2 linked regions of the Macaca mulatta genome follow. The protein of the gene in region 1 interacts with the protein of each later gene in a biochemical or structural test. Links are inferred from orthologs where the notes say so. Each region holds a gene or a part of one and is shown in the gene's direction. Other genes may lie near its edges.

Region 1 (5,274 bases):
TGTTTTCACATCACAAATGATTCAAATGAGAATTGACTTCGAAGTACAAATTACCAAACAGGCATTCTTATATTACATATAATGCCCTAGTATCCTTGCAATGACTCTGTTAGCCAGGAAATTTAGGTATTGATTTATTTTAAAAAACAAAGAACAACAACAAACAAAATAGTCTCCACATAATTAGCAAGATTAAGTGAAAATGAATTCCACAAGAGGTGTGCAATTAACTTAACACTCATGCCACTATCAAAAGAGTTCAGGATTTCAGTGACTGGATTTTTGTGGGGTTGAGAAAACAGAATAATAATAAGTGAACAGCTTTGGGAAGTCATCTAGCATATAGCAGTGGACTTTTTAACACCAATGTTGGAGGGCTGGAAAATTCTTGGCTTGTTGGGCAATCTCCGTGGTTCAAAACCTGGTTAAGAAGAGGAATGCATTTAAAAGATAGATTTGAGTAGTCCAAATATCTTTCCATAGTCTATGCACTAAGGTGTGTGTGCACCCTACTCCTTGGTGAGCCATTAGTCCCTTACCCAGAACCTATTAAGTTTACTTTAGACAGAATTGTGACAAGTGAGGCTATCTGGATTCCCAGTCCGCACTAGACTGGAAGTTACCAATCAGAAGATGAGGAGAATGTTAGTGACAGCTGTGCTAGTAACAGTAAGCAAAACAGATTGTCAGTTAGTGAAGGGGGAGAGAGAGAAATTACAAAAGGCAGAGATAATCATTAAGTCATGGCATCCTACAGTCCTTTGGTGTAGCGACTGATAGCTTTTGGACCTCCTGGGAGAATCCCTAACACCTAGGAAGAATATAGAATAGGAACTGGATATATTTCCTGAATCCACTACAACCTACTACAACAATTACTTTTAATAAAATTGACACTGAATTGTCAAGAAAATGCTAAATGATGTTCAATAAACCGCTTAAGAGAAACATTTGCAATACATTGTAGAAAAATCTTTGTATTATGGTTAAAAATAATTTTCGCAAAAAAAGTTTGACCCCCACTAAGGGGCCAAGCTCCAATTACGCTGGTCATCATTGAAACGGTTTGCTTTGTATCAATTTTGAATAAATGATGCACTAAAAAACAGCAGCCTTTACTAATTTGCCTACAGCAGATTTTGAATTGTGGTATATGCAAATAATATGGTATTATATGAGGTTTAACTTTTTAAAATGGCAACAGATTGCATAGTTCAATCAGTAGGGTGATGTAAAATAATTGTTTTTAAAAGTGCCATTGTCACTAAGGAAAACATCGGTACCATGTGCCCGGCACTGTGCTAGGTGCTGAATTTATTAAGCATTAATTTGAAAAATTGCTTTCACTTTCAAGACTGTGACAGTATTCTAAAACTCTCATTCATATTTTTAAAGGTTAAGTGAAATTTGCAGTACACAATACAGCCATTACATAACAGGCATAGAATACAGTTTCATGACTTGGATAGTTGTTGTTTTTTAAGCGCATTAGCAACTCCATTTTCAAATGCTATCAAATTCTTCAGGATATAAAAACCTACATGTAAGAATGGAGTGCCTCATCGGCTCATTTGTCTTATGTAATAAGTGTTTTAACACAGGCATGCCATTTCAGAATTTCGGGTGAGACTAAGCTATACTTTAGCTTTTTTGTGTCAAGCAAAAACAATTTCAGCAACAACATTGGTTTCCCCTGGTAATTTTTTTCATGGCGAATTACTAAATGCTGGATGCTCAAGTCAAAAAGAAACCTGACATCTGGGGAGGTGTTGAGGGGGTGTTAATAGTTCTAGGGAGATGTTTGGGGAGCGCTGAGGATACGATTTTTAAAACAGCAAATACACGGATAAGGGGAAATTATGGTTTCGTATGACTCTCTCCTCCCTCCACTTTCTCGTTTCACCAGTCTGTAGCCCCCCCAATTTAGAGGCGGGTTCAGCGAGATTAGGCTGCAGGAAACCAAGAGGCTCCACCGCGCTGCCGCCCCGGCCTCGTGATGTAATTGTTATTTCTTATTCGGAGACTGAACCGAGGAGAGCTGCTGAAGAAGTAGCAGCTCTGCTCCTTTTGCCTTGTCTGGTTGGGTCAGATCCTTCCCGGGGATGATGTAGATTGGCTGACAGACTCCGCTGGAGACTTCGCAGTGACAAAGCAGCCGAGGATTAACCCTGCTCCTGGGTCCTACGTCTGTCCAGGGAGCTGAGCGGGGCGCTCCTCAGGTCTCCTTCCTAGTTTTCCTCCCGGAGTCGCTCCACATGAGGGCTGGGTGCCTACTACGTGCTGGGCGTGGGGTCAAAGTGACCCAGAGTTCGCGCCCGCGCCCCCCAAGATTAAAGCAGGACACAGAGATTACAAGGAGATAGAAATTGGGTGGGGGGGTGAAAGGGGGCGCAGGGAGCGCGTGTTGTGGGGTGAAGGGGAGGAGGTAGACTTTTAAGGCGCCAGCACCCAGGCGGGGACCCTGGGGCGTCTGGGGTGCCCCGGTCCCCAGGCTCTGCCCAAACGGGAGCATTCGGCCTGGGTCCCGAGAGCGCTTCCCCGGGTTCCCAGGAGGAGCTGTCCAGGCGCCTGCAGCGGTCGCGGGCGGCTGGACAGAGCTGGGAGCCCGGAGGACGGCCCGGGCGCGCCGAGCAGCCCCTCTCTTGGGGACGCGGTCCTTTCGCTGCCTCCGGGCCCTGCAGCCCCGTCTGAGCCACCCGGAGAGCAGGCGAGGAGGAAATCCACGAACCATAGGGGGCTCCGTAGCTCCCGCGAGCGGCCCGGACCCGCACGGCTTCCTCCTGACCGGCTGACAATGGGAGGGAGGGGGAGAAAAGGGTTAAGAAACTTGGCTGAAGAGCTGAATGGCGTGGGGCGGCGAGGGGAGGGACTGGGCCGCGGCGGACTCGGCGGCGGAGGGAGGAGCGCGGCTGCGGGCGGGCGGGCGGCGAGCGAGGCGCTCAAAGTCAGCCTCGCAGACATTGCAGCAGAGCCCCGAACTCGGGAGGCGGCGGCGGAGGAGGCGGCGGCGAGGCGCAGGGACGATCCGGCCCCACGCCCGCCCGCCACCCGCGCGCGCCCGTCCGCCCGTGGCCTCGCGTCCGCCGCTGCGCCGGGAGCGCCGCTGGTCGGAGGGAAGAGCTCGCCGGGGTGCCGGGCCAGGACGGGGCGGCAGGCGCCTTCGCGGACCGAGCCTGACGGAGCCGGAGGCTGGGAGCCGCGGCGGCCTGGGGTGAGTGACGGCCGCGGCCAGGGCGCCCAGAGTAGCGGCCGCCGGCGCCGCCGGAAACGGCCCCGGAGCGCGGCCCGGGTCGGCGCTGGCTTGGCGGGCAGGGCCGCGGGGGCGTCGGGGCGGCGGGGGCAGCGCGGCCGGCCGCGGGCGCGCACGGGGCGGCGTGGAGGGCGCGTTTCCGGGGAAATCCTGCCTCTGCTGCCTGGTTCGAGTCTCCCCGGGTTCTCGCGGGGGGCCGGGGCGGCGGGCCGGCAAGTTGTGGAGTGGCCCCGGGTCGGCCCGCCCGTCCGTGCCAGTTCTGGGCAAGGGGGCGGCCGTCGCGTGGCCCCTGCGCGGGGTCGGACACTGGAGCTCGGGGGGCCGGGTCGGGGTTGCCCCTCGCTCGCCTGCCCTCTCGGTCGCGAACCTCGGGCACCGCTCGCCGCGCCGCTCTCGATCCTGCTGTCCAGCCGGATCCTGGGCGGCGCCTTTCGCCTGGGTGCCTGCCTGCTCCGTGCTCGCTGGATACCCGGCTGGGAAAGTGAATAGGAAAACGGACAGCTCGCCCGGCCCCCAACGGACCCCAGGCCCGCTCTGCCCGCACTCGCCGTCCCCCCCGGATGGCGTGGCTCACGGACCCGAGGCCTCAGCCATCATTTTACCAGGAGCCAGGGGCCGGCCCCCATTTAGGGTGAGCCCCGTGGAAGTCCGGGAGGCTGCCCTTTCTCCCTTCTGCTGTCCCCACCTTACTACTATTGCATATTGTTTTATGAAGGTTTCCGTGGACGTATTCTGCAGACCCTCACATCCCTTCCAAAGTAGTTTCCCAATTTTAATCAGGAGTTGGTGTTCAGTCTGAAGGAACAAAGGAACCAACTGTGTCTTAGAGGCGGACAGGCTGGGAGTCTGTGACACATGTTGATCTCTGAAGCATTCCAGGAGTTTCTACCTTTTATCACGTCAGTAATTGGCTGCTGAAGGTAGTAAAAGAAGTACGGAATGATAAGCACTTTTGCTTTTTAAAAATATTTTTTAATGGCACATTTTACTTTGGGGAAAGAAGACGTTCTTAGGCACAAGGATTTTTAAAAACTCGGCTGGTGGAACTGAGGTGGAGTTTGTCTCTGGTATTGTAAATGATTACATGTGGGATTGTGAAGGAAATTGTGTCGTTAGAGGAAGAGAAGCCATCTGTAGGTGTCCGTAGTAAAAATGGTTGTCGGATTATAGGTGATGAATGCTCTTTCTGTTTCTTGGGAAAATTTGTGAAGCAAGGGGCTTCGGTAATTCATTCTTTAAAGTTATGAATTGCATTGAATGCTTATTAGTGAATCATAGGTTTAGTAAGTGGGTGGCATTATTCAATGTTTAATCATCAGTTTTCCACCTTTGTGGAAGAGACAGTGAGATAATAGACTTTTTAAACAAATGGTGTTTCATCTGCTTAGCCCCTAAGTGTCGGTTGCCGCCTGGTGTATGTTGAAGTGTTTTCACCTTCGAAGTAAGTGAATTGCTCTGCTTTTGCCCAGCAGTTTGGTAATGTCGATAGGGTTTATTTGGTTCAGGGGAGCGCTGGCTTCATCACCTATAGTAACTTTTTTTCTGCCTGGGCATAGTTCCTAGAGACAAAGAAGGAGAATCAATTAGTGGAACAGCTACTGCCCTGCAGGTTACAGGATTGGTTGCTCTAGTCTGTGTCATACTCTAGTGGAGAAAGACCTCTTTCCAAACTTACCCTGGGAAGTGCCCTAGGAGTGTGAGCAAAATACACATCCAAAAAAAAAAAAAAAAAAAAAAGGACTGTTCGTTGTTGATTTTATTCAAATGAGTTAGGTGAAAAAGGCAGGTTTAATGCCTGTGGGAAGTTAGTTGAAAACCAGGTTTAATGCCTGTTTTACATGCATTTGCAAACTCTGTAGAACTTGGATTTTGCTAATTTTAACAGCCTAAAATGTTGTTAACTTTGCACTAAAGAAATGTGTGAAGAGACTAAAGGCTTTTCTGACTCTTGCGGTTGTAAGTGCAAAACATCATGATAAAAAATAACCTATACCACCACCTAGAGTCTGTTTGTTAGTTTATTG
Region 2 (5,273 bases), on another chromosome or scaffold:
AATCCCAAGGGACTAGTTCCATACAGGGTAGAGTACAGACCCTGAGCACTACACACTGCAGCCTTGCTCCCCAGGCTTCTGGCCAAAACTGATCACTGAGAAGGTGGCATCCACTGGCAGACAGCCACCCTCAGTGCACCTCGTTCTGCTCACTGCACTGACTGCACGCTGCAGCCTCCTGCCCCACACTGCAGCTGTTGCTTGTCTCCTGTGAGCCCAGACTGAACACAGGTTCGCTTACTGCATGGAGGCTTCGCACGCTGCAGCCTCAATTCACCATTACAGCTGCCACTGCACACCACAGGCTCCCTTCACCCATGGCATGCCCTCAACACCACCACTGCACTCTGCACGCTATAGGTTTCATCCCAGTTGCTTTTCTCATCTCCATAGTTCCAGGGACCCCAAGAGAGGTACCCTCCCCTCCACCAAGAATTACAAACTCCAGTACCCCCTGTGAAAGAAGTGGCTTCAACAGCACTGAGGATGCAGGTGGCTGATACTAAGACATGAGCAAGGGCAACCCAACTTGGGTAAGCTGTGGGTCAGAATCCCACACTCACCAAGTGATTCTGCCCAGTATAAACTGGGCGATTAGCCGAGCAGCTCCCCCTAACACACACACACTCGCATACACACACACACCCCTCCCCAAGAGCAGACTGTGTAGCCAGAGCCCCACCCTGAGAGCCGTGGGAAGGCCGTGGCCCCCGCTGGTAAAACTGGGCTAATGACAGCAGGGGAACCGGCGGGGCCAGGGGGGTGCTGGGGTAATTAGGGCTCAGCCTGGCGCTAGGAGATCCTGAGATGAAAGGTGCTCTGGCGTCACTGGGTTGGTTTTATGTCCATGAATGCAGGTGTGTGGTGTGTGTATGTGTGTGCTGGGGGTGGGGCTGGCATGGTGGAGACCTCTCCTTTGGGTTGGGTTAGGGGGTCCATTTGTACGCAGCCCACCGTCTTCCTTAGGTTGACTCTGGTACCATTTGGATTTTCGTGGGAGCAAACATGGGGGGAAATACCATCACCGGGGAGCTAGGAATTGAGGGGGTATGGCAGCTCTTGTCCCCTCCCCAGCGCAGGAGAGGGAGCAGATTGTTGGGGAAATGGCTGGTGACAGAGAATAGAAAGAGCCTATATGGAGAAGGGTGACGTTGGAAAGGGGAGGCAGTGGTTCGGTATTGATGTTAGAAATGAGAGGGGAGGGAGGTAACGGGGAATGAGCCCCCACAAGGATTAAAAACGTAAGATGATTGAAGTTAAAAGGACATCAGGGGTCACCTGCCCAGCCTTCGCACCTGAAGCTTGAGGAAGCTCTGCCCCCGACAGCAGTGGCGATTTGTCAAGGTCACACAGTGAGTTACTGGCGGAGAAGGGACCCGAACACCCAAACAAACTCTACACCTGCAAGCATTTGGTGTTTAGACTTTCTCCCCCATGTATAAGGTGCAGGCGGCTCGTCGATACTTCCTCCTCCACCCCCACGGTGCACACCCGAAAACCCCCCAATTCTCCCGGCAAGCAAAGGCTATTTTTTAATGACATCTTTTCCAAAATATGTCACCAAGTACCCACTCCTGCGGGAGCCGCCCGGGCGGGGGAGGGCGAGTCAGAGCGGGGCGGGGCAGAAGCGGCCGAGGGGCGGCCGGGCCTCTGGCGGGGGTCCCGGGGCGCGGCAGGGGGCGGGGGGCGGGGGCGGGCGGCGGCGAGGCGGCCTGCAGGGAGCAGCCGCGAGCCGGCCGGGCGCGCCGAGCCCGAGCCCCAGCCGGAGCGGGGCGGGGGAGGGAGGAGCCAGAGCGGCCGCCGCCTCTGCCGGAGGAGCCGCGGGGCCGCCACACTCGCCCCCCGCCCCCCCCGCGCTCACTCGCACTCACACCCGGGCGCAGGAGGCGGGCGGCCCGGGCCCCACCGGCCCCCCATGGACGCCCCCAGCACGGGGCGCTGAGACCCCCGCGTCGCTGCCCAGCCCGGTCCAGCGCGCCACGCCGAGGTAAGGAGGAGGGAGCGAGGGCATTAATATGCAAATGCCTTGCGATTGATTATGCAAAGCCGCGGGGCTCCGTGGCCAGCTCCCAGGCGGGCTGGGGGCGCCCAGGGGGTACCCGCTGCCAGCCTCAGCCTTTCCCGGCACCCCAGTGACCCTGTCACGAGCCCGGGAGCGTCAACTGACGCCCTGGGGAAGGGAGGTGTTGTAGGAGGTCGGTGGGCCCCGGGGTTCGCAGGCGGAGATGGCGTCCGAGCCTCCCCCTCGAGGGCCCGCCCGGCCTCTGTCCGGCCAGTCTGCTGCGCATTCCCGGGCCGGGCCCCGTTGCCGGCCGCCGGAGCTCCCCCCGCCCGCCGCGCCGCGGTTTGTTTACGGTGCGCCGGAGGCCTGCCCCCCCCAGCCCCCACCCCTAGCCTCTGAGGCCGAGTGGCCTTTGCAAAGCTGCCTCCAGCTGCGGAGGGCAGTATGAGTGCGGTGGCGGTGGTGGGCTTGCACGGGTCCTGGGAGAGGGAAGTTCCCCCCCTCGCTTCACCCGCCTCCCAGTTGAGCATGGCTGTCTGGTTGCAACACTCCTAATTGCAAAAACGCGGCTGTTGGGGGGAATGTGTGTGTGGAGGGGGTGTACTTGATGGTGCCTAGATGATTAGGAGAGTTGCTGGCTGGGGAGGACAGGGAGAAATGGACCTGTTTGTGTACCCCACCTTGTTTCCCTCCCCTTGCAACGTGTCTCTGGTGCCCCTTCTGCATGTGGGGCCCTCCCTTGTCCAGCGTGAAAGAAAGGCCTGGGGGATGACAGGGGCAATTGAAAGAACCACCGTTCCAGGGGTGGGGGTGGGGGACACAGAAGGAAAGACAGTGAGGTGGGAGCCTGCCCCTCAGTGCTGCCTTTGGCTCCAGGAGGGGGAGGGGATGAAGGGGGCTGTTGTCCAAAATAAGGGGGGGAAGCAAAAGTGACATGCAGACACAGAGATATGTCCACACAGACAGCCACATGCACACCCAGGGACACCCAGGCGGACTCAAGGACAGGAGCTACTGGACACACCCACATGGGGACAAGGGAAGAGGCAGGCTGCTGCTGCACCGTGGAGCTCAGACGGGTGGGATATACCCACGGGAGACCAAGAGCATGGGGACCGACCCATGCACATACCCACCCACACACAGGGTCACACGGAGATGCTGTCACACACTGGGGCAAGGAGGAGTTGCTGTCACCCACACATAAAAAGTCACTGTCACATGCATGCATGCACACAGAGCAGTTGCACACAGCCGCACAATTACAAAAGACCCTGTCACTCACAGGCACACACGTGCTCGCATGAGCCCAGTCACACAGACATCATTGCTTGCCGTGACAGTCGCTATCACTCAGTCAGATGCAAACACAGTTACACATCAACACATGTATACACAACTTAGCAACAAGTATTTTCCTGGACTCTTACTGTGGAACTCTGAGGTTCTGCAGGCAACAAAACCCTTGCTCCCAAGAATATTAAATTTGGCTGTATGAAAAGGTGTTCCTGCGTAATGGTGCAAAGCCTGCATTCCTAATGACATCTTCTTGGTCTCTATCGATTGAGATACCACCCTACTAGACAGTGAGCTCTTAGAGACCTGGGAGAATCACTTAAAGAGCTCTGGATGCCACCCAGAGCCTAGCACAAGGGCTGCTCTGTAAATACTTGTGAGTTGATTGACTGTGGAACCTGCAGACACAGGTGCACTCATTTGCACATGGTCCCCTGAACTAAGGTACAGAACGAGTTCATGAGGCCCAGGTCCCCACAGTTGCAGGTCCACACCAACAGTCGTGTCCACACAACCCCAGATGCACACAACTGGAGCCTGTGCAGCCAAGCACACACTTAGATGCACACAATCACAGACTTTTCCCCTTCAGCTTCCTCCTCCCTTTTTCCTCTAGGCTCAGCCACTGTGCGGGAATGGGCTTTTTTTTTTTTTTTCTTTTTTTTCTTTCTTTCTTTTAGAGGGACAGAGAAACAAGAGCAAAGACAGTGGGTTCAGGGGGGTTCCAGAGGGCCGAGTCATGGGCTCAAAGCAGTATCCAGTGACTTCTAGAAGCTGGGATTCTCTTGACTGCTGGGGGAGGGGAGAGCTGCTCTTCTCCCTACCCTAAAAGCTCTGGGGTGTCTAACTGCCCCTGCTCTGAGTCATTTGCCTGGGCCTTTCCTGGGAACAGTCAGTCACCCCCAGCTGAGTTCCTGCATCCCACCTTGAGTCTGGCCCTTTTTCCCACCTGGACCCTTCTGTCCAAACTTGGAAGCTTTCCTTAAGAGGCCATCGGCTGACGAGTGTCTGTATGAGTGATGTGTATTTTTGACTTGGAATTTCTCTCTAACTCTGTCTCTCTTTCTGTTGTTCTGTCTTGCAGTGTCTGATTCTCCCTCCCTCTCTCCTTTTTCCTCTGCCAGTCTGTAACTCTCTCTCGCCCTGTCGCTACCCCCCGTCTACCCCTGTCCTTGTCTCAGAGCTGGGGACTGGCAGCAATGTTCTTCATACTTTTCCAGTTGTTAATACCCAAGCTCCGCCCCTCGGCCCCCCCTGTGCAGCCTCTGGGGTCAGCTTGAGGTTGGGGTGGGGGGCGGGGGGCTCAGCTGGCTGCTCAGGACTTCCTGCACTTCCTTAGTGCTGCAGCTGTGGCCAGCAAGTTTTAGGGGCTGGGAACGGGGGAAGAGAGGGGGGGTCAGCCACTGCCCATGCTGACCCCTCGGGCCTGCATGTCTGGAGACACCAGTTCTGTGGGCACCCTCAGGGTGCAGGCTGCAGCCAGCTAGCAGCTCTTAAGCAAGCCCCCCACACTGGCCCAAGCTGGAAAAGAACCGCCCCCATGGGCAGTGGGGGAGCTGGCAGGACCCTGCTGAGTTGGGTCCACTGCAGGGCTCACAATGGCCTTTCTCCACACCCCTGGCAGCTGAGGCCCACCTCAGAGATGCCCAACAGCTGTGTCCTCTTTGCCCAGCCTCAGGGCCTGGTTCTGAGGGCACAGCTGCCCAGACTAAGTGTGTGCTAAGCGAGGCCCACCCATGAGTGCAGGTTCCAGCCTAGAAGGGGTACCTCTTCCGGAAAGGGAATTTGAGGAGGGGGGACTGGGGTAGGAGACACAGAGCCCAGGGGCACCAAGCACTTCTCACCATGCCCCCCTCTAGCCTTGGCCTATTTGGAGGTGGAGGCACCCACAGGGCAGCTACAGAGGGGAAGGACTGAGGCTTGGTCTCAGGGAACATATAGCTGGATGAAGGAACAAGGCATTGGGCTGGGCACA

What was found.
Region 2: the proteins of NRIP1 (region 1) and THRA form a complex in vitro, tested with the Homo sapiens proteins (4 studies listed by BioGRID). The link is inferred for Macaca mulatta from reciprocal best matches to the Homo sapiens genes NRIP1 and THRA.

What each region holds. Positions count from the first base shown.
Region 1 is NC_133408.1:32,665,705-32,670,978, forward strand, and holds the start of NRIP1 (nuclear receptor-interacting protein 1), read left to right. Parts: upstream 1-2,007; 5' UTR 2,008-2,219; intron 2,220-2,955; exon of another isoform or gene 2,956-3,211; intron 3,212-5,274. UniProt on the Homo sapiens protein: Modulates transcriptional activation by steroid receptors such as NR3C1, NR3C2 and ESR1. Also modulates transcriptional repression by nuclear hormone receptors.
Region 2 is NC_133421.1:64,420,258-64,425,530, forward strand, and holds the start of THRA (thyroid hormone receptor alpha), read left to right. Parts: upstream 1-1,859; 5' UTR 1,860-1,987; intron 1,988-5,273.